Regions from separate parts of the Mus musculus genome. Here regions 1, 2 and 4 are each reported to be linked to region 3. Evidence: microRNA targets listed by miRTarBase, many of them from high-throughput screens and not tested one by one. Region 3 holds a microRNA gene; each other region holds the end of a gene's coding sequence.

What was found. The annotated mature microRNA mmu-miR-132-3p reads UAACAGUCUACAGCCAUGGUCG and lies in region 3 at 4,120-4,141, shown strand. An mRNA with a match to its seed (bases 2 to 7 or 8) in the 3' UTR can be bound and repressed. Matches are read on the target gene's strand: a 7mer-m8 pairs with bases 2 to 8, a 7mer-A1 pairs with bases 2 to 7 and ends in A, and an 8mer does both.
Region 1: the mRNA of Usp54 is a reported target of mmu-miR-132-3p. Seed matches in the 3' UTR shown: 7mer-m8 at 5,625-5,631.
Region 2: miRTarBase lists Elovl7 as a target of mmu-miR-132-3p. Seed matches in the 3' UTR shown: 7mer-m8 at 4,960-4,966.
Region 4: the mRNA of Ep300 is a reported target of mmu-miR-132-3p. Seed matches in the 3' UTR shown: 8mer at 4,458-4,465.

Annotation. Positions count from the first base shown.
Region 1 is chr14:20,544,063-20,551,734 of GRCm38, forward strand. Usp54 (ubiquitin specific peptidase 54) reads right to left here. Exons shown (of 21, transcript NM_030180.2): 21 at 4,850-6,398. The coding sequence ends at 5,839. Ppp3cb (protein phosphatase 3, catalytic subunit, beta isoform) reads right to left here and starts at 2,511. Exons shown (of 14, transcript NM_008914.3): 1 at 2,294-2,511. The coding sequence starts at 2,378. It overlaps 1810062O18Rik (RIKEN cDNA 1810062O18 gene), which reads left to right and starts at 2,231. Exons shown (of 6, transcript NR_033571.1): 1 at 2,231-2,282.
Region 2 is chr13:108,280,761-108,288,432 of GRCm38, reverse strand. Elovl7 (ELOVL family member 7, elongation of long chain fatty acids (yeast)) reads right to left here. Exons shown (of 8, transcript NM_029001.5): 8 at 1,324-5,961. The coding sequence ends at 5,752. Among named protein-coding and RNA genes, the nearest start is that of Depdc1b, 32 kb to the left of the region's middle.
Region 3 is chr11:75,169,604-75,177,275 of GRCm38, forward strand. It overlaps Mir132 (microRNA 132), which reads left to right and starts at 4,079; the gene lies at 4,079-4,144. Ovca2 (candidate tumor suppressor in ovarian cancer 2) reads right to left here. Exons shown (of 2, transcript NM_027136.3): 2 at 6,340-7,672. Mir212 (microRNA 212) reads left to right here and starts at 3,785; the gene lies at 3,785-3,875. It overlaps Hic1 (hypermethylated in cancer 1), which reads right to left and starts at 652. Exons shown (of 2, transcript NM_010430.2): 1 at 1-652.
Region 4 is chr15:81,648,809-81,656,480 of GRCm38, reverse strand. It overlaps Ep300 (E1A binding protein p300), which reads right to left. Exons shown (of 31, transcript NM_177821.6): 31 at 4,404-7,672. The coding sequence ends at 5,499. Among named protein-coding and RNA genes, the nearest start is that of L3mbtl2, 11 kb to the left of the region's middle.

The DNA.
Region 1 (7,672 bases), not on the chromosome of region 3:
CTCAAAATTAACAGCAACTTCCTGCCTCTGCCTCCAGTGTGGTGGGATTAAAGGCATGTGACCACAGTATCAGGAATTCTAATACATTCCACATAGAAATGAAAGTTGTCACCATGAAGAAGATACAACTAATACACAACATGCATTAACCATACGTTTATAACTGAAATTTCCCAAACAAGCTCCTTTCCTACTAAGAAAATGGTTTTCATTTCAAAACAATAAACTGTAAATGGCTATGTATTAGACTCACAACTCACCCCTAAAGAATCTGCCTTCTGCTTGCAACTCGTTTTTCCTTCATTAAAGCAGTATGAGAAAAAGATTGCTACATAAATGACAAGGAACAAGATTCACAAAAGGACAACATAAATACATGATTTGGGAATGTGACTAGTTACGTCAGCTATTATTCTGGTGAAAAGTATCCAGAAAAATAAGCACACAGGAAATATAGTTAAGAAAATGAAGAAGCAGGCAATGGCCTGTTTCAACCCCCACCTATACAATTACAGAAATTAATAGGATCAATGCCTGATCTTCTATCCTTCAAGAAAAAAAAAAATCCCAGAAAAAGAAGCTCATAAACTATTCATTCTAGGGGCTGGTGAGATAGCTCAGCGAGTAAGAGCACTGACTGATCTTCCAGAGGTCCTGAGTTCAAATCCCAGCAAACACATGGTGGCTCACAACCATCTGAAATGAGATCTGACACCCTCTTCTGGTACGTCTGAAGTCAGCAACAGTCTACTTATTTATAATAATAAAATAAATCTTTGAGAAAAAAACCTATTCATTCTTTTTTTAAAATTTATTTAATGTATATGAGTACACTGTCACTGTCTCCAGACACACCAGAAGAGGCATCAGATCCCATGACAGATGGTTGTGAGCTACCATGTGGCTGCTAGGAACTGAACTCAGACTTCTGGAAGAGCAGTCAGTGCTCTTACCCGCTCTTACTCCAGTCCTATTTAGTTCATTCTAATGCTTAACCCAACCACATATGTCATGCTTTAAGAACCTAAAGTGCAGATTGAAAACAGAAAAAACACAGGTGGGCAGTGGTGGCGTACACCTTTGATTGGGCTCTTAAGAAGCAGAGGCAGGCATATCTCTGAGTTCCAGACCAGCCTACTTTCCAAGTTCCTGGCTAAGACTACGCAAAAAAGCCCTATCTCGAAAAACCAGCACACATACATACATACATACATACACACACACACACACACACGAGAAAAGGGTTTGTTTTAAAATATTTTAATGGCAAACCATGGTCACAATTCAAAGCAAAGCTAGCAGTATTTAAACACTGTGCCAGTCTATACTTGAGACACTGAATTTGAAAATTAAAATAACTTTAAAAATGAGCATAATCTAAATGACGAAATCTTCATTTTACGATTTCTGCTTATTGACTGCAAAATAAAGAAAAATAATTTCAGTTCTTAATATTCTTAATCCATAGTATTAGTGTGGTAGATGGGCTCTCTCTGAGAGCCTGGACTTTTAAGGAACTTTCAACTGCCTCTCAATTTAATTTAAATAAATCTGTTTATCTGTACACACACGTCCTCCCTGGCTCAGAAGAATTTCACTTTTCCTTCTAAAGAGTAAGTCGTGTGTTTAGAGGCGGCTTGTAAAACCCTTTCTGTTAAGTGTACCACTTCCTATACATGGGACTTTTTTGCCTCCTCTTTGTAAGATGGCTTTTTCCCCTGCCCCGCAGCTACGTCTGGGTTCCTAGGTCACCCCGGGATCCTTCATCCTGGTCCAGTCCCATACGGTTTTCCCGATTTCCGCGCGGGGTGGCATCTGAGGGCCGAGCGCAAACCCCCTGCGGCTGGCGCTAGCTAGGCGTTGTCACCCGGGAGCAGGCGTGGGCCAGAACGCGGGCGAGTCCAACGGCGTGCGGCTAAGGGGTTCCGGGGCCCCTCGGTGCGCCCGGGCAAGCCGGGAGTGCAGCTGTCGAGGAGCCGGAAGCTCTTAACGCGGGCGCCGCGCCGACCACAGGCAAAGCAGGAAAGAAAGGGGCTCACTGCGGCGGACGGCCCTGAGCCCGCGTTAGCGACAGCCCGCGCACGACGCCCGCCCGGGCCTGCAGGGCGAGCGGGAGACCGAGGAGCAGCCTACGCCTCGGCCCGGCCCAGCGGGGACCCGCCCAGGGGCCACTCCCCAAGGGAGGCAGCCAGTCACTCGCCCGCCCCGCCAGGCCCGCTCCTGAGGGGACGGACTCCCGCCCGCCCTCACACCGCGCCTCACGCCAGGCCCCCAGGCTTCGGGTACCTCTCACCTTTGACGACGCGGTCGGCCCCGAGAGGGGGCGGTGGGGGCGGGGGCGGGGGCGGCGCGGCCCGGGCCGGCTCCGGGGCGGCCATGCTGGGCCCGGGGCTCGGCTAGGTGCCGGGACGGGCGGGGTTGGGGGCGGGGGCGGCGGCTACCAGAGCCAAGCGGCGGCGCCGCCGGGGAACATGGCGGACCCTCTTTCCCTTCAGAGGGGCTAAGACCGTCATGCATCGCGCGTGCAGGGGCGGGGGCGGGACAAGCTCCAGGGACTTGAGCAAAATTACCGAGGCTACTACAGAAACGGAAACAGTCCAAGGGATCAGGTGAAAATTCCGTACATGCAGAAAGACAAACCAGTAAAGAGAGGTTGCAGATTAAACTGAGGGGCTGTTGATAAAATGCAAGGGGAAAAAAGGACGGTTTTTTGGCCGCTTTGGAGCCCAGGAAAATGAAGAGGTGTAATTTGATCTCAGAATTTCCCAGGCCTAGACAAATATATGACAATTTATCTACAAAATCTAAGTGATAATACTATGGCCAGAGAGAAAAATGAAAGAAGCATCAGGGAATCTATAGAGTGGCATTATCATTTAAAATGAAATTTTCCCTTTAATACCAGACCTCAGGAGGCAGGGGAAGGCAGAACTCTGTAAGTTCAAGTCTAGCTAGGTCTAACCACTCAGGGCAACAAAGTGAGACTGTCTCAACAAAACGGGGCCCTAGAGAGTTGCATAGAATTCGAACTCTTGCTTTGAGAGTTTGGAAAAGTCCAAAGGCACATAAATTCAGCTGGAAAAGTCTAAGCACCACGATTTAAGAACCAAAATGGATCAAGGGAAGTAGGGAATGACACCAAGAGGTGTCCTGAGAACCTGTAAGATTCCCCTGGAAAGCCATTGCCTCTCTCGTAATTCACTGAGCAAATAAATTTGAAGGCAGAGAGATGGTTCAATGGATAAAGGTGCTTGCAGCCAAGGACTGTGATTTAAGTTCCTTAGGACTAATCCCCATGGCCGAAGGAGACAATGGAAAGAAGGAATTAGACTCCTTCTAGTCTGACATCTACTAAAACTTGTAAATAAAGAAATGAAATAGAAAAAAATGGAAAGCAGAGACTAAGTAGGTAGAAAATAGGAAATTAGTTCCTTATCTTTGTACATACTCGGAATTTGAATTTGGGCAACTTGCAGAAACAGATCCAAGTTGACCAGCATCCAAGAGGTCAAGAAACAAGTACAGGTGGTCCTTAACAGTTATTAATAAGATGCTCAGATGCTGAAGGCATAGGCCACCAAACCCAGTAATGGAACCACAGGGCACACAAGGTATTAAAAGAGAACTGACTAGTACAGCTTACTCTAGCCTTCATGTGTCCTCCTCATACATATGCACAGTCATTACACTTCTTCCAAAAAGATAGAATTGTGTGTATGACACGAGCAGTGTTGAATGGTTCAGGGGCCAACATATCTACTAAGGCCCATGTCTCTATGTTATAGCATCCAAATAGGATGAAACAAGAAAGCCCTCTGTATCTTATTACTCAGTAACACAAGTTCTCAGAATCTGTCCTCAGTGATTAGGAGGGCAACGTTCTCAGCATCTGTTGTTTCTTTGTGTTCATCAGTAAGATCAAGATCTGGAATAAATAAGGAGGGAAAACCCAATAGACATTCTTTGCAAAGGGAACCTTCCAAATTATTTTCTTTTGTGTGTTTATGTGTTTTACCTGCATGAATGTCTGTGCACCACATGTGTTCAGTCTCCATAGAGGGCAGAAGAGTAGATTATATTCCCTGGAACTAGAGCTACCAAATATTGTGAACCACTATGTGGTACTGAAAACTGAACCTGGGTCCAATACATGAACAGCTTGTTCTCTTAACCATTGAATCATCTCTCCAGCCACTACAAAATACTTTTCAAAGGAAAGAGACTGTTGGGAGTGTGTCATGGGTGAAGATAGCTCTCATTATCACAGAGATATTCTGACTCTTAAGGGGAAAGGAAAGGGAGCAAGGCAATAGGAAGAGCAAAGGATTGGAGTCACATCACACACCTGGAATGCAGAGAGGAAAGGCACCAAGGCTGGTACTGTACTGGGAGTGAGTTTGTCAAGGTGGTTTGAATGCCCAGAAGACAAGGGGAGGAATGGAGAATGTAATGCACTGAGTGTCCCAGGCAGGGGAGGGATAGTTAACACGCTAACAGCCATAACAAGAGGGAAAGACTCTTAAAGATATGTTGACTCCATAAGTGAGTTTGTTTTTTTTGTTTGGTTTTTTGGTTTTTCGGTTTTTCGAGACAGGGTTTCTCTGTGTAGCCCTGGCTGTCCTGAAACTCACTTTGTAGACCAGGCTGGCCTCGAACTCAGAAATCCACCTGCCTCTGCCTCCCAAGTGCTGGGATTAAAGGTGTGTGCCACCACACCTGGTCAGTTTGTATTTTTAAATTCCTCTTTGGCTATTCATTTTCACTTGGTCAAAGGCATTTCATATAAATGTTGAAGCCTCCCGACCCCAGAAGAAAAGAGCAAGGACATACAAAAGTAAAAGACAAGAGATTAAATACAACTATCTTATAGATTTATTAATGAAAAATACTTTACAAAACCAGTATGCTTTGCCCTAAAATACTTTAGCTGACTCTTGAGAGTTTACAAGGGTGAGTGAGCAGTGGTAGTAATGGCTCTGCTGCTAAGGACAGGAGGGGTGTTAGTGTGCCCAACTCCATCTGTTCAGAAGGGCAAACAGTGTATTGGCAGCTCCACATTCTAGGCCTAAAGTCTGAGTCACAAGGAAGGCTGACAGGCCATAATACCTGGGCAGTTGGGCTTCCCTTAAGGACGTGGTCAGAATCCTGACTATGGGGATAAATACCCCTTTTCCATTGATACGAAATAGGGAAGAAAGAATGTTAAGTAATATGGACAGGTGGATAAACAAAGAGTGTAAGTTGGGAGTATAGTAGGACCAGAAGATGAGGGCTCTGATGGAGATGGGGCCAAAAGAACCAGAACTAAAGTAGTCCAGACTAGTCTAGAACTTGTTATGTAGCCAAGGATAACCCTGAACTTCTGATCCTCCTCCCTCTGTCTCCCAAGTGCTAGGATGACAGTTGTGCACCACCATGGTCAGTTTCACACACTTCTAAGGATAGAACCATGGCTGATGTGCATGTTACAAAAACACGCTACCAATTGAGCTACATCCCCAACTCTAAAGCTGGAATTTCAAATATTCCCTCTCAAAGCAGCAAACACCCTTAGGGGAAAAAAAAATCAATGTCTTCTTTGTTGTTGTGGTTCTGTTCTTTAAAACAAAACAACAACAACAACAAACAGTCTCTTTTTACCCCAGTCTCTGGCCTTGAAATGCTGATTCCCCAATCTCTACCTCCCAACTACTGGGATTACAGGCATATGGTGCCTGGAATGAAATGGCCAAGTCTGTTGAGATGAGACTGGCATAACTGGCAGGAAACAAGGTGTCACTGCGCCGCCGTACAGTTTTATGGATGAAGGTGTAGCTCCAGGGCAGGTTAGGGTGGCCCTTACCACCTGCTGTGCTGTAGAAATCTCACCCTGTTCTGCTCTCTTCCAGCAGCATTTGATAGAGCAAACATAATTCTTTCCTCTCCTGGGCTCCTGTGTCTGTCCTGGGAGGGGTAACTGCTCTGTCTCCAGTCATCATCTGGGGGCATGTCTATTCTTCGTGGACCAGGTGTTCGGGACCCCAGAACAGGACCAGAATTCCAAGTTGACCTAAGGGGTACATGAAGATTGCTGGATGGTGGGGACCCTGGGTGAACAGCAGAAGGATGGGAGGGTGAGTGGAAAAGATTCCCCCAGGACTGAGCATGTGGAACCTGAAGGCCCTGGTGTCTTTCTGGTAGTGTGGCAGTGTAGGTTAGCTGAGGCTTGCATGCTGGCATAGTTAGGACTCTGGCCCCAATGTGCTGGTTGGTCTCTGACCCTGGTCCCCAGGAAGCATCAGTTCTGGAACGATGAGGTAGACTTCGGTAGTTCAAAGTCCTTCCTGTGTACTTGACCCCTTGGGGAGTTTCATCCCTGTCACACATAGCCAGAAACTGGTGGACACTCCTTGAAGTTCCTAAGAAGAGAAAAGAAACCCAAACACTGAGCATCTTTAGAAAATAAATCTACTTCCCAACCCTTAACTCCTCCAAGAATACATACAAGAAACCTAGGTTCAATTAATATGTATATATTTTAATTTTTCCCCAGTCCTGAGGATTGAATCCAGGACCTGTGCATGCCAGGCAAACACTTTACCATTAAGGTATACCCTTAACCCTAACTACTCCTAAATATGTTAAAATCAACCTCTTCTATCACAGGGGAAATGCAACAGTCTCCTGGATATTGCCATAACTACTTCCAGTAACAATCCTTCTCTAACAAATACACTCATGTACACACATGTACAAATCTATTTACAATTTCCTTGCAAACTTTTATAGCAATTACACTAAAATCTCCACTTGGCTTTTCTTTTTCTAAGATGTATATTTTATTCAAGAGGAGGGGGTTGGGGAGAGAAGGGCAGTTTGAGATAGGGTTTTCTGTGTAGTCTTTGCTGTCCTGGAACTTACTTTGTAGACCAGGCTGGCCTGTAACTCCTAAGGATCTGACTCTGCTTTCTGAGTGCTGGAATTAAAGACGTAGACCACCCTTGCCTGGATTGTTTGGCTTTGTCTGTCTGTCTCTGTATCTGTCTCTCTCTGTGTTTTTGTTTGTTTGTTTGATTGTTTTTGTTTTCTTTTGAGACAGGGTTTCTCTGTGTAGCTCTAGCTGTCCTGGATCTCAGTTTGTAGACCAGGCTGACCTCCGCCTGCCTCTGTCTCCCAGTTGCTAGGATTAAAGACATGCACCACCACTGCCCAGACACTTGGCTTATCTTAACATGGTACTTTGACTGCTGTTAGATGGCCTCTACTTAAATCCTTGTTTCATTTCTGAGATCTCTGCTTTTGTTCATCCACACTTACCTCATACACATATAGAAAGAAAATCATTTTCTATACGTTTCTTTCACTATGGCACTTGTGACATGGCGGGCTGATAATTCTTTATCGAGGATAGAAGGGACTGACCTGTACACTATATAATGTTTCAAAGAATCTTTGTTCAACATCCATTAAGTACCAAGTAGTATGTCCACTTTCAAATTGAAAACCAAAGACTTAAAATATAAGTTAAACTCAAAAGGATTAAAAAAAAAAAAAAAGAACATCTTCCATGGAGGTCAATGAAAGCCAGAAAGGTGCTGTCATCTTCCTGTGGAAGATCTGGGTCTAAACATGTGACATGTTCTCAAGGTACAGTGTCTGCCCAGTCTTCCATTCACTTATGTCCTCCTACATC
Region 2 (7,672 bases), not on the chromosome of region 3:
CAGAGCCCCTCAGGAGACAGCTTTATCAGGGTCCTTTCAGCTAGCTCTTGTTGGCATCTGCCATAGTGTCTGGGTTTGGTGGTTGTTTATGGGATGGATCCCCAAGTGGGGCAGTCTCTGGATGGTAGTTCCTTCAGTCTCTGATCTGAACTGTGTCTCTGTAACCACTCTCACTCTCTCTCTCTTTCTGTGCCCGTCCTCTTCTGAGTGCTTGCCTACATAGTGCCATGCTGTAGAACAGTATATGATAACCACTTGCTGTTATACGGGGCTGCTTCCTGAAAGAAGGAAGTAGCTAAACAGCAGCAGGGAGGGAGCCCCAGGATCCCTCTGAAGGGTCATTTCTCAGATCAGATTCCTTCTCTCTTTCTCCCTTCCTCTCCCTCCCCTTTCCTCTCTTTTGACACAATGTTGCTATGCGGTCTTGGAACTTGTGATACTTTTGCATCAGCCCCACCCCCACCCCCAATATGCACCACCAAGCCCAACTCAACACTACTGTTGTAGCAAAATGTCAGCTTAGGGAAAGGTCTCATATTTTTGCAACAAACTTTTAACTTGGCAACATGTAGCCTGCCTTGGTTTTATTTACTATTTATGTAGGCCTTCTAAAAACCTTTTGAGATCAGGGTCTACATAAGAGCAGTTTAAAGTTTGTCAGAGACTTGGGATATGGATCTGTTGACAGAATGTTGGCCTAACGTGCAGCCATAAAATAGGTGCAGTGGTGCCTGTTTGTAATCTCAGGGCTCAGGAGATGGAGGCAGGAGGATCAAGTGTCATCCTTGGTTGCATAGTGATTTCAAGGACAGCCTGGGCTATATGAAACCCTGTGACATATCATATACACATACATATACATGCATACATACATATACACACATATATATTGTTTTAATATAAAAATGTTTGAAAAGAAATGTGTAAGCAAACGTAATGTGCATATATAACATATATGAATCATATGTGTATATAGAGATATACATTATATATGTACTATAAATTATATATAGATATAGATGCATGATATATGTATATATGAGAGAGGAGAGAAAGAGAGAGAAAAGAGAGAGAGGGACAGACAGACAGACAGACACTGGTGTCAATGGTGAGTAATCACATCAACTATGTCTCTGATGTCTACCTGGAATCAAAATCATAACGGTAAAACATACACAATGCTTGCTAAAAGCTGGGAACTTTCAAATATATACAACGGCAGAGAGAAGTGTCAATAGAACCTAGAGTTAACATTTGTCACCAATTCTCCTTCTCATTCCGAATAATGTGTTTTAAATGTAAGAGAAAATAGTGACAAGAGAATTTTAAACTTTAAAAATGCATTTATTTATTTATTTGGGAGGACTGCACATGTGTACTATGGAGTGTGTGTGCGGAGGTCAGAGGACAACTTTCTGGAGTCAGTTTTCTCTTTCCACCATGTAGAGGTCCTGGGGAATGGAACTTAGGCTGTCACATTTGGCAGCAAGCCCTTTGACCTGCTGAGCCATGCTGTCAGTCCAAGCCTTCTTTCAATAGCAACTAATGCACAGACACGTGTATATTTATTGATCTTAAGGCTTCATTCTTTACATTTGACTGTTTTCTTATGGATAAACTGTTCACCTAGAGCAGATGTTTCTCAATCTGTGGGTCTCAGCCCCTTTCACAGGGGCTGTAGATCAGATAGTTACATGAAGATTAATAACAGCAGCAAAATTACAGTTATGAAGTACAACAAAAATAATTTTATGTTTGGGGGTCACCACAACATGGAGAATTATATTAAAAGGTCACAGCCAGACAACTGTCAATTATACACAACACACACGGGCATACACGTATATCTTCATGGATTAGAACTTTTCAAAAGTCTGGCTGCAGTACAGAGATAATATCCAGTATTAGTTTCTTAGTATCATCTAATATTTATGCCATGTGTAATTATTTTAAAATCCTCTTATAATTGGTTTGTTTAAATTTATATCCAAATACTGGATTGTTGAATTTTAGGTCTCAAGTTACTAGACTTTCTTCCATGTCTTTACTTCAGTTTCCTTGTGGTGATGCAGGGGATGGAGGCTAGGCCATGCTGGGCATGTTCTCTGCCACTGGAATTCATAGCCCCCTCTCCCATTTTTGACTTTTTGTCCCTTTAAGGTCACTTTTGGTGAATAAATTGGGCCACTTGTCTGATGAAACTCCTATAATTTACTACCTTGTATATGGCTGATTTGATCTACTTTGTCTCTTTAAATATCTTCCTATATCAACAGAATTATTATTATTATCATTACTGATTTAGAAACAGAAATTTAAGCCAGGTGTGGTGGCGCACGCCTTTAATCCCAGCACTCGGGAGGCAGAGGCAGGCAGACTTCTGAGTTCAAGGCCAGCCTGGTCTACAAAGTGAGTTCCAAGACAACCAGGACTATACAGAGAAACCCTGTCTCGAAAAACCGAAAAACAAAACAAAACAAACAAACAAACAAAAAAAGAAATAGAAATTTAGATTCAATTCAAAACACAAACTGGGGCAAAGAGATTTCATAATCCAATAGCATGTTAAAAAAAGAAAAGAGCACTTGGGCATCTCACTTTGATCGGTATTGAGAAGATCAGTGGGTTCAGACTGCACCAGCCTCAGTCACCATCCCCAACTTCCCCGGCATTCAGCCATCAGTTGTTTTAACAAACGTAGGTGATCGGTACCTAGAAACTGTTATTTCAGTTAGACATGACAAAATTATTTTTTTAAGTTCTTATTTATTTAGGTTATAAGTGTTCGTTTGTGTGTTTGTGTGAGCACAGTGGGTGTGCCTGATGCCTGTGGAGGCCAGGAGTAAATGTTGGATCCTTTGGAACTAGAGTTACAGACAGTTGTGAGTTGTCAAGTAAGAACCAAACCCAGGTCCTCTGCCAAAACGATAAGGTCTCTTAACCACTGAGCCATCTCTTGAGCCCCGTGTTATTTGCAGACATCTGGTCTACTAACCTACTATCCATTTTGGATTTTACACATTTTACATAATACATACTCGCCTTCAAATGCCTTCATAATAGTTTTTTGAATTTGTGAATGGCAGGACATGGCCTCCTGTTGTACCTATGCTGTGCTGTTTGAACATCCATCTGCGGGGTGATAAGATACAGGCAATTCCAGTGGGCATTTTGAACCACTCTCATCCAGCACAATACTCTCTCTGAAGACAGCAAGCACATGACAGCAAGTATGCCAAGTGCTTTGACTAAGAGAATATTCAGATTTAGAATCACTCACATGGGCAAATCAAAGCAGCTAGATTCCAAAATGAGACGCACGCGCGCACACACACACACACACACACACACACACACACACACACATGTCCATATGATGCCACAGATTTATTATAGCAAAGAGAGCAAGTCCAACTTCTCAAAACTTCCACAGTCATTAAAAAGTAAACAGAAATAAGAGATAGCCGAGGGATACAATCTCATAATTTCCCAAACTATGAAACAATGCAGTATATACTCAAATTAGAATTCTCATTAAGTATGTAGACAGAAAGTCATAATACCCTACAGATAATTTAAATTTTGTATTTATATCATATATATTGGACCTCAAGGGCCCACAGAACTTTTATAATAAACTATACTTAATAGCTGGGCTTTTTGCTTATTAGGCAAGCAAATTTAAAGACAATAAAGTCCTGAAAAGTAGGTAAACCCCATTAGAAACTCCACTTGACCGAATACTGCTTACACAAACCCTACAACCAGTGACACTCACTCTGCTCCAGGAACACTTACCTGGGGGACACTGACTGTCAACCTTAATCTGTTTCCATGTAACTTCCACCTCCCTCCTTCATTCATATAGTTAAGACTGTGGTATGTCACAATGTTGCTCTCAGTCTGTGGGCACATCAGACATTTTAAATACTTAGAGGAGGGGTGGAGAGGGTATGGAGCAAGAAGAGGAAATAAATCAAAACCTCCTGTCTTAGTCTCTATTTTCAATTCCGTTGGGTCTTTGCCCTGTTTGAGTCTTTGGGATTGCTTGTGTATGTGCCAGTGTCTACCATCCCATCCCATCTTAACCCAGGCTGGACACACAGAGTCAAAGTAGGAAAACATGGATCCCTGAGACCTTCACAGCGACAGACTAGCACAGCCGTTCCCTGCAGCTCGGCTTGTCTGTGGCCTTTTTAAAATTTTTTTTTTTTAATATGAAAAGCCTATCATCCTCGCTTCTCATTGTAAGCATGTGGAATCACTAAAGGCCACTTAATGGCGAATAACTTTATAAACTGAATGAATGTGGAGACAGAGTAATGGATCAGGAGAGGGCAGGCAAAACTCATAGTTTATGGTCAATGAGGACTCAGGCTTTATTGCAAAATGAGCAACGTTGTGTGGCGCCCATGACCAAGGTGTACTGATTTTGAAAAGTTCTCCGAAGAGGAAAAGGAAATAATATTGACATCTTCACAAGCGTCCAAGTATTGCTAAGTTGTTCTGGTTCACCGGAAAGAAGAAGGAAATTCTAGAAAGTGGCATTTTTAAAGGGGGTGGGGGTTAGGGAATGCCACATGAATCTCAGCCCTTCACAATATGGCTTATAGGTCTGAAGAAATGGAAATCACACACACACACACACACACACACACACACACACACACAATCATAATTCAGTGTCTTTATCTCTCAGGACATAACACCCCTTGTTTATTTGTTAACCAAATCTTGCCTCTGATACTCGGCACCACTCAACTCTGGTTGCTTCATAAGCCGTTTGCATAGTAGATATTCAAAAATTAATATGTGATTCAGAAGCACCTGAGGTAAGCCAATCACATGAACACTTAAATATCTAACCAACACTTACTTTGGCAAAACAATCCCTTAAACCAGGACATATCAGAGAGTGTTATTATACTGCAACAGATTATACCTTTCCTCATTGAATCCAACAGTCTATTCTTTTTTTTTTTATTCACACATCCCTCTTTTCAGATATGCACAGAAGTTAATTGTAGAATCGTCATTAGCAAAGCGTTCATTAACCGTTGAGACAAATCATCTTGTTTGCAACATAAAGTTACCTCCACCTTGGGCTCAAAGGCATCAGTGCGGATACCATAGCATCACAGCCTCTAACAGCTTGTGCATGAGTTGGGAGGAAGTCTTATGGGCAGATCTTGTGGCAATGACCCAGAAGACCATTCAAACTTACCATTAACAAATTTAGAATGAGAGCTTATCAAGAATCCACTTAGGCTTCACTTGTGTTAGCACTTCAGAACTGAGCCCTAGAACGAGTGTAATGTTGTCTGAACATAAGGGATGAGTGACAGACAGAACCCAGCATCAGGGGTTCCCACATCAAGCAGGAGGAATCTATCGTACTCTGTGGACCTCTGTCCATGTTCAAAATAGCTAGTATTTGTCATCATTTCTGGGGTTCCTAGGAGAGCACTACATTACTTCATACCCTCCTCTTGATGTAGCAAGATGTATTAAGACCTCTGATTGGTTTGAAAGGCAACATGAAACCTCCTGGCTGTTCCAGGCTCTTCCACTGAGAAGACTTATCTGGGAGCTTTGGACTCTCAGAGATCAGAAACCCAAATAACTTATCATAAAAATACAAGCTCTTGGTTTTGAAAAATATACAAAATGCACTGCATAGGCAAGTATGTCTTGATTGTCAAGGAAGGCAAGATATCAGTCTCCATTGTAAATTCAGGTTGTGTCTGTATTTTAGTGGCGCTTGCTTTTGCAATTTCCATTTTCTAGAGTTTTGGGCAACCTCTGACCCTTGGTGTAAGCACGGTACCAAAAGTGGAGAAAGAGCAGCAGGAAGATGCATCCGTAACTCATGATGATATACAGAAAAACTGGGTACTGGTAATTGCAGTCCTCCATGAAGAAGATCTGGCCTATGTGGATAGTGACAAGAACAAACTGGACCTGAGAGATGGGAAGAATAAAAAAGAAATTAGCTATGAAAAGACCAACACGGGTTGATGAGTTCTTCAGTCACACCTAAATTACTACTAGGCAGAGCAGGGTGTCTTTCTATATGTTCTCTCTAGGAGTGAGAACAGGTTAGGTACGGTGTCAAATTTAGATGGGGGTTTGGGACCAATATTCAGTGCTAACACTGCACTCCAGCAGATCCTACTTAAATGTTACATTCTGTTCTCGGAAATGAAGTATTTTAAATTTTAGAAGACACTACCATCCAAATTAGAGCCTTTCTAGTTTTGATGGAGCCAAAGCATGCCCTTAGATCTGCTACGGGTCCTTCATCACCATAGATCCAAACCGTCCTGGGAAGGAGTTGGGCATGGTGAGACACACCTGTTACCTACCTCAGCTACCTGAAAGGATGAGGTAGCAGAATCAGTTAAGCTCATGATTTGAGTTCAGCTGGGCAGTACAGTGAGATTTCACCTCTAAGAAAGGAAAAGACAGGGGAAGAAGGCCCAGCTGTCCAAAAAGGCATAAAAAGAGGGAGGACATTGGTTGGCGTCCCAAGGATGCTCAAAGTCTCTCTGGGCTGGAAGAATCCGCATGCTCATAATAAGGAGACTTTCTATGTTAGTGTTTAGACATTCTTGGGTACTTTCTTTGATGCTTTTTTTTTTTTTTTTTTTTTTTTTTTTTTTTTTTTTTTTTGGTAGAGAGGGGGCTATACATGAGCCTTTGCATGCCTGTGCAGGCTGGGTTGTTCCATCCTTCCACTATGTGTCTCAAGGATCAAACTCAAGTTATCAGGTTTGGTAGAAAACACCCTTACCCACCCTGAGCCATCTCGCTGCGTCCCCCACTTCATAGGTTTTTATACCTAATTTAAACTTAGTTGGGGAACTTTTAGAAAAATCTTTATAAAGAAACAGTATCTATGAGCTAACTAACCATGATTGAATCTTTGACATTATGTAATATAACTACTGTTAGCGTCAACCTTCACTACCATAGCCTGATAAATGCCCATGGCTGCCTTGTCTGGCAGCGGCATCGACTCCCTTCATTTTGCAAGAGAATAATGAAACCTTGGAAAGGTGAAGCAGAGTTCTCTGCACACATGAGTGCTGGAGACACGTGGCAAACAGATGTCTAGCCTTCGTCTTTATGCACACATCTTTCCACTTTATTGAAATTCTTTTGTTTTCTGAAACAAAGTGGTATGTGGTACTGGCTGGCTTCATTCTTGTTATGTAGGCGAGCGTGACCTTGAACTCCCCACCCTCCTGCCTCTGCTTCCCAAGGGCTGGCTCTGCTGGTGTGCACAAGTATACCTGACTCACTTCATTTAAAATGTCATAACGTTTGTTAGATGAAAATAAACTAGTATAATAAGATTATGAATGCAGTAACATGAAGCCAGTAGAAGATGTAAATGCATCTACACGCATAAGAGGAGAAGCTGAGTGAAAACAAAAAGAAGAGCTACTACTCCAGAGAGATGGGTATTTTCATTGATTGATTGATTGATTGATTTTTCATTTATATAGTACTCGGAACTAAGAAACCTCTCCTACACTAAGCCACACCTCAGCCCAGTTGATTTTCCTTCCTCGGGAGTTTTAATTTCTCTGAGACAAGAACATATTACTGCACAATGAGAAAGCAGCAATGGAGAATAAAAACCATGACTTCACAGTATTCCCAAGTA
Region 3 (7,672 bases):
GGGGTTGGGGTGGAACACTACGAACAGTATTCTGTGAGAGGGCGAGCTTAGAAATCCTAAGTGAGATGAAGGTACATACGTTCGGAGCAGGAGCGGGGCGGCTTTTATTAGACATTTCTGAACACCATTATTCACTTGGACTCAGTGGAGAGAGACACATTCCAACTCTCCCTCAGACACATGTTATCAGTATGCACATCATAAACCGTCCACACTCAAACTCTGTCCAAGCAGTGACAAGGGCGCGCCATGTTTACACAGACCGCCCACCCCCTCCCGGAGTCCCAACTTCTTGGGCTACTGCGGAGGCTACTACGTGAAACGGGGTAGAGGTCCTACCAAAGAGCCCTCCCCGAACTTGCGGGTCTCCAGAAGGACCCTAGAGCCCTCCATTGGAAATAGCTGGACAGAGCCCCCTTGCGACGTGCCCCTCAAGTCCCCAATCCCCCATCTAAGCAGTTTTGAGGGATCTTAGTTTGCCCCCCCCCAATACACCATTCGAGAGATATCACGAGAACGGGCGGCTTGAGACCCCCTCAAAAAAAGATCCTACACGCCACACAAGGGAGAGCTCATTCATGTTGGTGACTCCTCTTTTAGGAGGGAGGGGAGCGTGCACCAGCTCTTGGGTGCTCACCGGAAATGTCCCTGCATAGCGGGGCGGAGGCATAAGCACCGTTGCAAGCACCGCGCCTCCGTGGCCCACGCTCCGCCTCTTCCCCGCACCTCCTGACCCCCGCCCACGCTATAGGGGGGGTCCCCCCAAACCGCCCACAGCTTCTTATTGGCTGCGCCATCCTCCGTGGCCAAGCCGGAGAGGCTGGGGCTCAGAGTTACTATGGTAACCAATGAGGTTCCCGGGATCTCATCTCTCAGAGGCCTTGGAGAGCTTAGCAACCGCGCGGGGCGCAGGGCGGGTGGGGGCTACGCTCGCCGCACCCCACGCTGTCTTCGAGCCCCCACTCCCCCGCTTGAGGTAGTGGCTGAGTCACTCGCCCGGGGCAGCCGGCCGGGCCTCTAGCTGTACCAGTGAGACACCAAGGTCTTGGGCGCCTCCTAGAGGCTGCGTTTCTTTGGCAGGAGACTTCTATGCCTGGCCTAGGCTTCTGGTCCAAAGAGTCTTCAAGGCTCACCAGGTTTCCGCGACAGTGTGCTCCGCCTCCATCTAATCCACTTACTACTTCGTATCTCCGTACAGTGTCCATACAAGACAAACACTGCAGTCCCACGGTGGACTCCACAATTTCTGAGCTCTAGGAGAAGTGAAGAGGTACCTTGGTATCTCTGTCGAGGGATACGCCTTGGGGCTGAAGCGGAAGTGTAACGGAGCGTTTGAGGATAAGAAGGCTCCCCAGAAGTGCTCTTAGGGATGAGTTTTGACAACTCTGAGTTCTCCCACAAGCAAGGGTGTCTCTGATGTCTCTGTTTTAAATGTTTTCTCCTTTTAATGGGGTTAGATCGTGCGAGTCTGGAGAGAAAGCTCTGTATGTGTTTTACACAATGGAGTTTATCCGCTGGTTGACCCATAAGGAGGTCGGCTGGGTCTTCAGTTCCTTCTTGTTCTATCCCTCTCCACCGACTCAAGCCCTTGTTGTATCGCTATGGGGCCAACCACATAAACCTTGCCCAAGTTTCACTGTGTACTCCCCTCCCCTCCCCTCCCCTTCTCTCCTCTCCTCTCCTCCACGCCCCACCACCACCACCACCACAGTTTCAAGTCTACGGCTAGCCTCGAACTCACAAAGGCGTCTACTTCCCACGTACAAGGATGCGCACCACCATGCCCCTCCTCTTAACTTTGCTTTCCCCTTCTTCCTGAGCTCCTCTGGTCATCCTGGTGCAGCTTCCTCCTCTCCGTGAACGCATGACGACCCCATTTAGAGCCCGGAGACAGAATCGGGCTGTTTTGGAGGACCTGTTCCATATCGTATTTGCCTTTAGTCTATTCTGACTCCTTTAGAAAGGAGTCCCAGCTACACACACCCTCTGCCAAGCTATTGAGCCCCCTTAGTCTCATTTTCTCTCTTACAGGCTCTGCCTATGCCTATTCCACCCCACTGAGGTGGCCCCCTCGTGCCCCCTGGGGCACTGCCAAGTTGGCTCTCCAGTACTTGTCAGGCTAGCCCTTCCTTTTGTGGATACTCCGTACAGGGATTTTCCAAACTCTTACAGAAGATCTTCTGCTCATTTCTAAAGTCCAGACCACTCTCCTTAGACTCCCTGATCTTCTCTGCGGTTTCCACCATCTGACCGGTACCTTTCCTCCTGTGACCCAGTCAAGAAGCCTTCCAAAACTCCCAGGCTTCTCCACCCCTCTTTCCCCAGCTCCTAGATGTCAAAGTCCGAGGTGCACTCTACTCCCCTCCTAAACCGGTCCAGTTTCTTGCCTCACCCCCCACCCCCCCCCCACACACACACCAGGAGAGAGCGAGGATACCACGGTGGCCAAATGGGAGTGATACCATCGCGGGGCATCTTCTGGCGTCAGAGGACTGTAGGGTCTAGGGAATGAGCAGTGTGGTTTGGGGCTGCCAAGGGAGGACCCCTGCGGTCCAGGAGAAAAGAACTGAGATCCTAGGACTCGCAAAGCCCCGGAAGGGGAGAGTGAATAAACACAGAACGGGGCCTCACCCTCCCTGCACTATTCTCCCCCAGCCCGTCGCCTGCAGTTCCGGAAAGTTAACCCCTTGGAGGCCAAGCCTGGGGTTACGTACTCCCCTACCCAACCCTGCTTCCGCGTGCGCACCCTCCTCCCGCTCCAACTCCCTGTCGCTTCGTCCCGCCCTCCCCTACGCCCCCCCTCCCCGCTTGCCACTATAAATAGCCTCTTTTCCCGTTTCCTAAATTCTCTGCTGACGTCGGCAGCGCGTCAGTGTGTAGGAGCCGCGGCCGCATGAATGAGCCGCCGCACGAGTACTACGCGCGCCTATAAAAGCGGCGGCGCCGGCCGGGCTGCGGGAGGCAAGCCGGCACTGGTGCGACGCGGCCCGACAGGTAAGGACCACCAACAGTCGGAGATGGGCAGATGCGCGGACGCCATGGGAAGGCGAGGAGGGGACCGGAGGGGCGGCGGGTTGGAGGGGGACTCCGGAGTGAGGATGGGGGGCAGAGTGGGAGGGACGAAGGTTCCTTTCAGCTTGGTGGACCAGGGGCCGGCGGCTGACCCAACCCTATGCAGCACCTGCCGGCACCCAAATGCAGACGCAGACACTATGGAGAAACATCAAGCGGAGAGCCGAGCCCCCGACCCCATTTCCCGAGGCTGAGCAGCTCCTGCGCCATCCTTTCAAGAAAGTGGGGAGAAGGTGCTGGCGTCTCAGGAGACGCGCCCCCTCATTTCTCCCCTGTCCGCAGAGCGGTGACTCAGCCTAGATGGCCCCGACTGACTGAGCCAGGGCGCCCACGACAGACAGACGCACACCTCGGCCCTGCGGCTTTCTTGGGACCCCCGTCCTGCATGCTCCACACACGCCCCTTCCCTGTCCCGTCCCTTCCCGTCCGGTCCCGTCCCGTCCCATCGGACTGTCCCACTGAGCTCAGGACTTCCCGCCTCTGCAAGCGGAGCTGTCCTCTCAGGACCAGGCGGGGGCGGGGCTTCGATCAGGCCGCCCCGCCCTACCCCCACCGCTCCCCACCGCCGGAAATGCCTCCCCGCTGGGACATCTTTGACGTCACAGGACTCTGACGTCACGGTCGCGTGTCTGTCCGCGCGCGCTTGGGAGGAGGTGGGGGGGCCTGAGAAGCAGCAGCACTCTCAACTGCGGGCGACGGGATATCCCCGCCCGGGCAGCGCGCCGGCACCTTGGCTCTAGACTGCTTACTGCCCGGGCCGCCTTCAGTAACAGTCTCCAGTCACGGCCACCGACGCCTGGCCCCGCCCCAGGACCGCCGACCCCCGGCCCCTCCACGCCTCCCTGCGCCGCTGTCCGCGGTGCTGATGCAGTGCAAGCGCCTCCCTCGGGCACGCCTGTTCAAGGTCCCTGTGGGTTGCGGTGGGCGCAGGCCCCGCAGACACTCGCGCCACCCCCGCCGCCCGCGGTGCTGACGTCAGCCTGCAAGCCCCGCCCCCGCGTCTCCAGGGCAACCGTGGCTTTCGATTGTTACTGTGGGAACCGGAGGTAACAGTCTACAGCCATGGTCGCCCCGCAGCACGCCCACGCTCCCCACCACTCCCGAGTTCTGCCAGCCTGGGTTTGGGCAGATACAGAGCAAGAGGAGGCGGGGCGGCGACGCAACATTCGATGTGTCTGCGGAGGTGGCAAGAGGTGTGCTCAGAAAGGCGGCCTTTCAGGCTGCTGTGCATCTACCTCGGTGCAGAAGCAAGATCCGCGGAGTGTCTGAACATCCTCCTCAGAGACTCTCCTGTCTTCCTAGTCGAGGTATCGCTGCCTAAGGTGGCGAGAAAATGGGTGGTTCTGCGATAAGGATTCTTATCTCATGAGTGGTGAACCGATGGGATCAGGAGTCCTGTGAGAAGGAAGAAGTCACTTTTGCCAGCAGAAAGCTGAAGGGGGAGGAGAAGGAAGTTTTATCACACCTTTCTTCCAGAAAACCCTAGGTGAGCAGGTAGAGGGGAAAGGGCAAAGAATCCCTTTCCTGATAGAGCCATAACTCTGTCCCCCAACTTTCTCCTGGGCCATCATTAAAAGGGTCCTTAACACAGCAAGAAGCTGGCAGGCTAGTGAAATTCACCTGGCCCCTAATTCATTGTCTGAAGGTATCAGCCAGCAGTCTTCCCTCAACTGGTCTGTAAGTAATGCATCCCAACTTGAGATCTTCAAACGTGCCCCCAAAAGGAGTACAACCACAGAGACTGCACGTAAATACTCTCTGTGGCTAGGGCTGTTGAGAGACTCTGTCTGATAGGGTAGAAATCCTGAGTGTAATCAAGATGCAGAAAACAAATAGCAGGGATAATTTGAAAAGAGGACAGCCGGACAGTGGTGGCGCACGCCTTTATTCCCAGCACTCGGGAGGCAGAGACAGGCAGATTTCTGAGTTCGAGGCCAGCCTGGTCTACAAAGTGAGTTCCAGGACAGCCAGGGCTATACAGAGAAGCCCTGTCGTCTCGAAAAAAACCAAAAAAAAAAAAAAAAAAAAAAAAAAAAAAAAAAAGAAAAAAGAAAAAAAGAAAAGAGGACCTTTTGCAGATGGAACCCATCAGAAGATGTGGTTAGAAGGTTGACTATATAATGCTTTGAGTGTTCGTTGTCCTAGAAAACATTTAGTGTAAACCATGCCTTCTTTCCCAACTTTACACATTAGAAAGCAGAAGCCCAGGTTGGGCATTTAGCCTATAGAGAGCGGTAGTTTTTGCTTGCTTTTTACTGGACAGCAGAAAGACCAACCAAAACCAGGAGCTGCAGTGTATACCTGCAGTCCCAGTTGCTCAGGAGCCTAGACAATAAATATGAGATAAATATGAGATTCGTGTCTCAAAGGGGGGGGGGATGATGACAACAGACAAGAATATGGGGCTTTTGAGTCTGAATCATCCAATTTTGAGTAAGGTACTTAGCCTTTCTGTGCCTGTTTCCTCAATTGTAAGACTCAGTTATTAGGTTAATGACAGTACTTTTTCATGAAATTAGACAATGGGGGGGGGGGGGGACAGGGGTGCTGGGCATAGAGCTCAGTAGTAGGTCTGTGCTTAGCATGCCTAAGGTCCTGGGTTTGATCCCAGCACCAAAAATAAATGAGTTAGGCTATGGTAGAGCATGCTCTGAATACCAGATCTTGGGAGACAGAGATAAGTGGATTTCTGTGAGTTCAAGGATAACCAGAACTTCCGTGAGACCCCCGTCTCAAAAATAAGTTAGATGACAGGCTTCTATTTGTCTCATTGTCTGGTATAGTTAATTCTCAATAAATGTTATTTCTACCTCTGGACCTTATCCGCCTGGGCTGTACATAAATGTTAGAGCATTGATTCCTCGGGGGGAGGGGGCTTCTTTTTCTCCCCAGAGGGTTTTGAGTCCCACTAGAGGCTCTTTCCTAATACCACATATTTACCAGAGACTTAAAATTCTACCCAAGACTGTAGTTTGCAAATAGCTACATCAGGAATGACCAGGGGCAGACAAATAGGTCTATAGTTTTCTCTAGGAACTCCAGGTTTAACAAGTGTTCCTTGTGTAGGTGGCCCCCAGGGATGTGCATGTGGTAGTTCATTCCGCATGGTGGGAAGTAACTCTCCACTTGTTGGGACTCGGAACTGTTCTGATTCTTGGGAGGGCTCTTCACTTCAGACATGGGCCCTTCTGTGTGTTCCACCTAATAGAGCTCTGCTTGAACCCTCTCCTCCCTTTTTCCTGGTAGAGCCAGGGCCTACAGACCACTCACATGAACCTTTGCCTTTATTTATAGGGCTACCAAGTACAGGTCATCCTGTCCCCCAGCTTGGAGCTGACACAGGGGGCTGCCTATGACTGCCAGTGGTCTGAGTACTAACTTGCAAACCCACCAATTAGTTACAGAAAAGCAAATAGACCAAAGGGTTTATAAAATTCCACGTGTTCAATCTCCTTTTGTCAAGGAAGCAATCACTGTAAGGCAAGAACAAGGCACAGAGACCAATCCCCCACCCAAGCTGTTAAAAAGGGATCTCAAATCAGTACATGGGACTTTGGGGTATAATTCCAGTCTATCCTTTCGTGAAATTTTAAAATGTTTAGTGTGTATGAGATGGCATGTGTTAGCTAGCAGTCAGTGCCTTTAACCTGCTGAGCCATCTCACTGTCTTTTGGTGGAAATCTTGAGCCCTAAAGAAGCCAGAGGCCTTTGTAACTGAGTCAGACTTCTATGTAAGTGGAGTTCGGGGCAAGAGAATACATGGCAAGGCTCTGCCTTGGTCATCTAACAGAGGTTACAGAGAGCGTTCCTGTGTAGCCCTCTCTGTCCTGGAACTCCATCTGTAGACTAGGATAAGCTCAGTCTCAGATCTGCCTGTCTCTGCCAGTGCTGGGATGAAAGGCACGTGCCACCACTAACTGGTTGTTTTTAGACTAGACTGTCCTCTACCTCTGCCTGCATGTACCACCATGGCCATTGGGTCATTGACTTTTTAAACACATATCATGTACAACCCTGGGACCTGGGACTAGAGCCTCTGGAACTAAGAGCTATAGATGTTTGTGAGCTACATTGTGGATGCTGGAGCCCGAACCTGGGTCCTTTGAAAAAGCAGCCCATGTCCTTAACCACAGAACCATTTCTCTGATGTATACCTTGAAACACTTGTGTGTCAAGAACATATAACTCTGGGTATAAGAATGACTTGGGAGTAACTGGCCAACTCCAACTCCTGCTCAGTGACTAAGCTCCCTAGAAGATATTGTGGTGTGGGACTAGGTAAGTACCTTGTGATATCTTGGAAAAACTGTCTTTCAGAGGCAGAAGTCAGAAAGCAGCGTGCCTATGTGTGTGGCAAGATTGGGCACTGGAAGTGAGAAGAAAAATGGCAAGAAGTTAAGCTGAGCAGGCTACTTAAGCTTTGGCTTTCTCAACATATCAATAATTAGCATCATCAATTATGAATAGCAGTAATCTCAGAAACCCTGAAGATGGCTTCATTAGGAAAAGGCAGGTTACTCTGTGCTGTCTTTGGCCTCTACCCAACATATGGTACTACCCAAGTCTTCAAGCTCAGAGTTCAGAGGGGGATGGAACAGTT
Region 4 (7,672 bases), not on the chromosome of region 3:
TCGATCTCCATCTCTGCGTCTCTGTGAGTGGGGCATCCTGGACGTAAGGCTTTTCGGGTCTTACACTTGTAACTCTGCTGTGTTCTGTTCACGTATCAGTCAGAAGTCGCCAGAAACCAGATGCTTACTGAAGAAGAGGCACGAAAGTTAAAGAGACAGAAGATTGAAAATATCAGAAGGAACCATAACTACCTGCCTTTCATCACGGAATTACTAAAGACTGTAGCAGAACACCAGCAGTTAATTCCACGTGGGGAAAAGGCAAAAGAAAAACAGAATGCAAAGACAGCTCAGGAAATTACGTGAAGACACTATCCAGACGTGTGTGCACTGTGCTGCACTTAATTTCACGGACACCATTAAATTGAAGGAACTTTGAACAACATCCTAACTGACTCAGTGCATGTTTGACATAGCACCAGTCTGTTTTGTCCTTTATGCATGGAGTTAAAATTTTTTCCCTGTCTGTATCATGTGCATGTAGTACATACTAAATAAAAGTGATATTAAAAAAAAAAAGCAGCAATGGGTCCCCCTCAAGTCCAACCTTGAGTAGAAGAAGAGGGAAAATCTGATGCAGCACACAGATGTGGGCACTAACCATGGTCCAATGTAAGGCAAGAGTGTGGCAAGCCTGGCTTGGGAGGCTATAGGACCTGGGAGGAGATAGGACCAGTGTGACTTGTGTGGATGCGGGAAAACGGAATAATGTAACTTCCTGTTCCTTCTTAAGGCAAAGGCTGAATGGCCTGCGTCAGGGTCAGAAAGATCAGGTCCTGATGCGCCGGCTTAGCAGAGCCACTAGGAGCACTTGCCTATATCCATCTCAAGTCCTCACAAACATCAGGAGCTGAAGAGCCACAGAGAAGCAGCAGATACAATTGAAGAAATTAGGAACAAGGAAAGCTGTGTTTGAACCCCAGTTCACTGGGCTGTACAGAACTGTGTTCACAGAGGAGAGAAAAGGCTGCTCCAGCCGGGTGTGGTGGCACACGCCTAGAGGAGACAGTAATGAGGGAACGCCAGAGAAGTCTATCTGGGTTACTTGAAAACAAATGTTGAGCAAAATTTATGTTGAGCTGGAGTTGAAAGGAAAACAATGTGATAGAAAGCCTGTTTGCGCTGTGCTAAAGAACCCCAAGGGACAGCAAACAGAAGACATCTGTGAGAGAACAGTACAGGTGAAGAGGATCCAGACTGTCCTAGGAGTAGACCATTATCCCCCCAGACTAAGGAGGGGACATTTACCTCCAGCAAAAGGTTATACTAGGGGTGAAATTAGTTTGCCCAATCAGGAACTCCCCCAACCACCAGGGATGGTAGATGGTGTCTCAGCAGTTACTGCTACATCCACAGAGCCAACCCAGGGCAGCTCTGACCCAGGGAGCCCCAGGTAATGCTGGGAGAGCTGCGTCTTCTGCTCTCTGGCTCTGAATAGGTACGAGCAAACTAAGGCCCACAGCGTTCATCAGGTGTGGAGAATGCTTCATGGAAGAGCTCCAGGATAGGGAAGCCTGGTAGTTCAGAGAGAATGGCTAAGGATCAAGAGAGCTAATTACATCAGCGCTTCCTATCTATGCATGCAGGCTTTGTACCTTCATTAGTGGAGGAAGCAATTGATTAAAAAAAAAGGATGAAATCCTCTGGGCTCACCCATCACTGCGGAGAACAGATGACAGCAGACCTTCAGAGTGCTTCACCGTTATCTTTGTTGTATGGTGGTTCAAGATGTTGCCTTGTCCTTCCCACCTCCTGTACACATGTGCACACATCCACACACATACACAAACAGTGCTTGCAGATTTGGTAAGCCATTGGAGAGGCAACCAGTATATTCCATCTATCTTATGATCCTACTGGGGCTGGGTTAATTAAAAAGAAAAATGGGTTGCTAAAACAACAGCCAAATAGTTTAATTCTAAAAAGTACCTTACATGGGTGGACAAGGACACTCCTGGAGGCCATATAGTTACTGAAGGAAAATCCCAGTGCCAGGGGTGGGCTACCTCCGAGTTGCTGCCCAGGGAAGCCCCTGAGGCATCTCCAGCCATAAAGCTACTCCCTCAATTCTAACCACTTCTAAAGCTCTTAACAAGTGGCTGTTACTGTGGCATGGTGGCCCATTACTTAGCCATGTCTATAGTCACCCCAACCCCAAAACTCAGGGATTACTGCAGAATAAGGGGCACAAAGGATGTAAAAGCCCATGGAAGGAGTGGAGTGTTAACAGTCTCCTCAAAGATTAAAATATTCCATCTTGAAGGGAAGTTCCTTAAGCAGGGAGGTAAACAACAACAAGAATAGTCTCAGGAACTCCCTGAAACTGAGCAGATTCCCTAGGCTCCTCCCTGACAGAGTAAGCAGGGAGTAAGTCTTCAGAGAAGACTCAGAACAAGAAGAGCAGCCTTCGAGAGATTTAGACCAACTGAGGCACCTGAGAAGGATATTCTCCAACCTGCTGAGCTGCCTGCAGGCAGTGGGAAGAGCTTTAGGTTCCCAGCTTTGTGAGCTGTGTAACCCACATGCTGGTGGGCTTTGATGATGCAGCTGTCTCTGAGTCATTCCTGCTCCTGTAAGTAATCCCCCCTCCTAAACTCCTTAGTTCACCAGGTTGGACCTTTGGTGATATCTTTATTTTGGTCTGATGTGGGTTCCCTATTTTGGGTAAGGCCCTGATCAATCAGTAGCAGCTTGATTACAATAAGTTTTTGTCATTTGCATTGGCTAGGTGTTTGAGTTGGATCAAAGCAGACCCCATAACAAGTGGATAAATATTTACCCTCTCCAGGAAAAGGTGTGTCACATAAGGAGCACCCACATGGTGACCCACAGCTTTCTATAACTTCCATTCCAGGTCATCTAATGCTCCCACATGTGGAGGCACATATATACATTCAGGCAGAACACCTATATACATTTTTTTTTTTTTTAAGGATTGGTAGGCCGGTGGCACACTGTCTTAATCCCAGCACTCTGGAGGCAGAGGCAGGCATGTTTTGAGTCTAAGACCAGCTGAATTGACATACTGACTTGCAGTCTGTCAAAGAGGTATACATAAGTCTTTTGTGTGTGTGTGTGTGTTTTTTTTTTTTTTTTTTTTTTTTTTTCCCGAGACAGGATTTCTCTGTGTAGCCCTGGCTGTCCTGGTACTCACTCTGTAGACCAGGCTGGCCTTGAACTCAGGAATCTTCCTGTCTCTGTCTCCCAAGTGCTGGGATTAAAGGTGCGTGCCACCACTGCCCGGTGTTCAAACCCATATCAAAATAATGCTCTTCTATTTCAAGACTTAAATTGTATGAAGAACTAATTTGAGTCATTAGCGTCAGAATGCCTGCAATCCCTGAGGTCAGGATTACGTGGTGAGTGCCTGCATTAAAACAGAAAAACCTCTCAAGTCATCCATGGGTCAGAGGGCTGACCTGGTGGATCCTTACCTCCTGCCTGAGTATCAGTGAAGAGCTGACTCTGGCAAGTTGCAGTAATTCAATTTATTATTAATCAAATGTAATAGTTTTTAAAGGGTATTCTTTACAGTATAGGACGTCCTGAATCAAAGTGGGAAAATGTTAGGGCAAGAGGTAATAGTCTCTCTCTGTTCCTCCTGGTTGTTTGGGAACTGGATTGGGTTAGCCTCAAAGTCTGTGTCTGCCTTTGCCTCTTAAGTGCAGGAATAAAGATGTGTGCCACCACCAAAGGCTAATAAATAGCTTTTTCCATGGGCCAGGGTTGTCTCAACTGTGTAACCCAGGCTGGCTTGGACTTGCAGTGGTTTTCTCACGGGGCTTCCTCATCTGGTAGCTAACCACACTTTGACATTTGGCTGGTAGAGATGACTATCACCTGAACCTTGGAAAAACTCATCAAAATGTAATAAACTATTGCATGCATTTCCCTTTTCCTCTTGCTCTAAATAGTAGGCTTGCTAAGTAGCAGGTTTTTCTTTTCCTATTGTGCCGAGATCCACTAAACTGGGTCTTCATAAGCCTGGGCTTCATGTCCTCCAGTTTGCTACAGTCGACAATGACTTCCAGCTTTTTTTTTTTTTTTTTAAGATTTAGTTATGTATGTGAGTACACTGTAGCTGTCTTCAGACACACCAGAAGAGGGCGTCAGATTTCATTGTAGATGGCTGAGCCACCATGTGGTTGCTGGGAAGTGAACTCAGGACCTCTGGAAGAGCAGTCAGCGCCCTTAACGGCTGAGCCATCTCTCCAGCCCAGTGTTTATCTTCCTGCTTCTACCTTGTAAGGACTGGGACTGCAGGTAGATGCCCACTGTGGCATTCCCAAGGCTGGTTGGGGTCTAACTTATACACATCAGGCAAACCTGCACCAGCTTCATTTCCAGGCCTAGCCTTGTGTTCTCTAAGAAAGAAGATGAGCCCCAAAGAAGTGACACCAAGCTCAGGTGTCTGTCTCACACAGTTTATTTAACAATAGGTAATAAGAAATCAAATTTAACAGTCTATACAGTGATCCAAAGTTCATATTTATAAGTAATCAACCTTAATTGCATGATTTACAACAGTTGAGGGTTTTTGCTTTCTATTTTCAAGTTTTACAGAAAGTGTACGTGTGTGGGGCAGAGTAAGGAAGAAAGCAAGTGAAGAAATCTCAGACATTTGCATGTTAAAATCACCCCACTGGAGTCATTTCTTACCCTCTTTTTAAATTTTTTTTCCTCTGTTAGATGTAAAAATAACAAAAAATTTTTCTCAAGAAACAGAAACCACAATATTATAATACATCAATTTGGCAGCTGCCCCTGTATATTATGAAAAAGTCATTTTTTTCTCTACATGTACAAATTATCTTAATACTTGAAGTTTTACCCTTAGACTTACAGAATAGAAAATTTTCTGGAGCACAAAAGTTGACTTGAGGGATGGAAAGAGGAGGCTTTTTATTTTATTTTTTAAATGTTTTTAAAAGAATGAACATCTTTGCACCCAGAGAAAAAAATTGGTATTTTAATATATTTATATATATTTATATATATATATATATATAATGTAATTTTACGTAACATTAACCCCTTTTGTCCTCTGGTTTTAGAAATGTTCTTTTTTTTTATTTAAATTCTTTCATAAAGTGAGGAAAATAGGGAAAAATGTCAACCATCTGCACCAGTAAATAATAACTATTAATATTACATATTTTCATTAATTTAAAAAAAATAATAAAACCTATCGGCAAGGCAGGAGCATATGGTTGGCTTCAGACCTCAGTTGCCTCCCAGTGCACACTTGAACCACACACACAAGGGGAAAAAGAGCTGGGGTAACCAGCCATAACAAAAATATATTCTTTGTAATCTATTATCCCTCAGGTTCATCTGGCCTGTTTACTTTAAACCATAAATGGCTACTGCACAGTTCTTACATGTTCCAAGGAAAATGGGTCTTTTAGGCTAAGAAAGATTCAAAAAAATTGTTTTCAGTACAAAAAGTCTTGTTAAGAGAAAATAATCTTTTGCTTCCAAAATACTACAAGGTGTCTCTAGTGTATGTCTAGTGTACTCTGTGAGAGGTTTGAATTCAAGTCTGCATTATCGCTGCTCAGTCCCAGGTCCGTGGCACTTGCCCCGTGGAGGTTTGCCATGCCAGGATTGCTAGCGAGCTGTGAAAGCATTGAATTCTGGTCTGGGCTGGCAAAATGCCCTTGTTCCATAGGGTTGGCAGCCTGGGCAGCTACCAGTCCAGGATGTGGGGAACTGGTCTGTGGAGAAACATGGTGTGGAGAAGGCTGAGGCTGCATCCTCGGAGATGGGCTGGAATGGGGGGGCTGAGACTGTGGTCGAGGAGAAGGGACAGGCTGGGGAGAGCGCACTTGATTGGAGAGAGAATTAGGGATTTGTTGACCTTGTAGGTGTGGGGACTGTGCCTGATTTGGGAGCATGTGCTGCTGTGGGCTCATAGGGTTGGGCTGAGCAGGAGACCCCATCTGTTGTTGAAGAAGTCGCTGCTGATAGGCCTGTAGACTGGCTCCTGCCTCAGCCCCCAGAGCCTGGGGAAGCTGACCCATTTGTCCCATATTTCCTTGCTGCATTTGCTGCATGTGATGCTGCATTCGCTGCTGCTGCTGCTGCTGCGGTGGATAGCCAATTCCTTGGGGCTGCTGGAACTGGTTGGCCATTCCAGGGCCGATTCCTGGCCCTGCTCCCTGCTGTTGCATCATCTGCCGTCTTAAGATGTCTCTGAACTGTGAAGGCATGGTATTGTGATTCATGTTCATTTGCTGAGCTTGGGGACTCATTGCTCCCATGGGTGGCTGGAGCTGCTGCTGCGGCTGCTGCTGGGGCAGGCCAGCTCTCTGGACACCTGCCTGCAGAGGATTCATGTTCTGCAAGGCTGGGTTGGAGTGGACACCTTGCTGGCCAGGCATGGTAGGTGGCTGCAGCCCTGGCTGTCCCTGGGTCATGCCAGGCTGTCCAGGGAGAGGCTGTGGATTAGGGTTGGCATACTTGGCAGCCCGCTGCTTGATGAATGCAGCCAACAGTTGGGGGTTGGCATGAAGGATACTAAGCACCTGTTGCTGCTGTAAGGGAGAACTGGGAGACCTGAGAGTCCGCAAAAGGTTTTGTAAGGCTTGTTGAGACACAGTGCCTGGCTTGAGAGGGCTCACACCCACTTGGCCCAATCCTGGTTGTGGAGCCATGTTTAAAGGCTGACCATGCTGGGCCACTGACATCATGGCTGGCCTTGGCATCCCTGACTGCATCTGCTGGGGCTGAGGCATTCCTCCTTGGGCCCAAGGTGGCTGTTGCTGCATTCCTGCTGGACCTATTCCTGGATCCAAATGCCCACCAGGACCTCTGGCCATAGGAGGTGGGTTCATGCCCATAGGGGCCATGGGTGACATCTGGGGCATCTGGTGCTGGATTGGCCTTTGGAAAATCTGTACATGGGCCATCTGGCGCTGTGTCTCTGCTGCCCTCTGAATTTGCATTGCCATTTCTACTGCTGCAGGTGGAGGCCCTGGAAGGGGGGCCTGAGCAGTCTGAGGTGGGGTAGGTGGGGTCACCTGGCCTGGTGCCTTACCCTGGGACACAGGGCCAGTAGTCTGAGTCCTGGGTAAGTAGGGTGTCATGTTGTTGGGAGGAGTGGGCTGTGGTTGAGAGGTGGGTTGGGGCTGGGGTGTCTGTGGGGTGGCTGGCTGTTGGCCAGTAGGGGTAGTTGGTGTAGCAGGAGTTGGGGACGGCAGGCCCTGCTGCTGCCCCGCCACACCAGTTCGTTGCATGCTGGCCATCCTCCTACGGAGCATCTGAGCCTGTTGGAGCCGGTGCTGCAGCTGTTGCTGCCGGAGCTTTTGCTTGATGTTGAGGCAAAATGGCACCGGGCACTTGTTCTCCTGGCAGTGCTTGGCATGATAGCAGCAGAGGGCAATAAGCTGTTTGCAAATGGGGCACCCACCATTGGTTTTCCGTTTGCAGCCTTTGGTGTGCTGCACAACCCTCTTCATCTTCTGGCAGGAAGGCAGGGAGCAGTTGGCGTTGCGGCACTGACAGGCATGCACCAGAGACTGGATGCAGCGTTGGATGCTCAGGCGGCGGGAGTCTCCTGGGCTCTGTGTAGCTGCAGCTTGCTGGTTATTGCTCTCATCATCTAAGCCAAGGCCTAGTTTCTCCATTTTGTGGTCATGATTTTTAGTGTTATAACAAGTGATGCACAGGT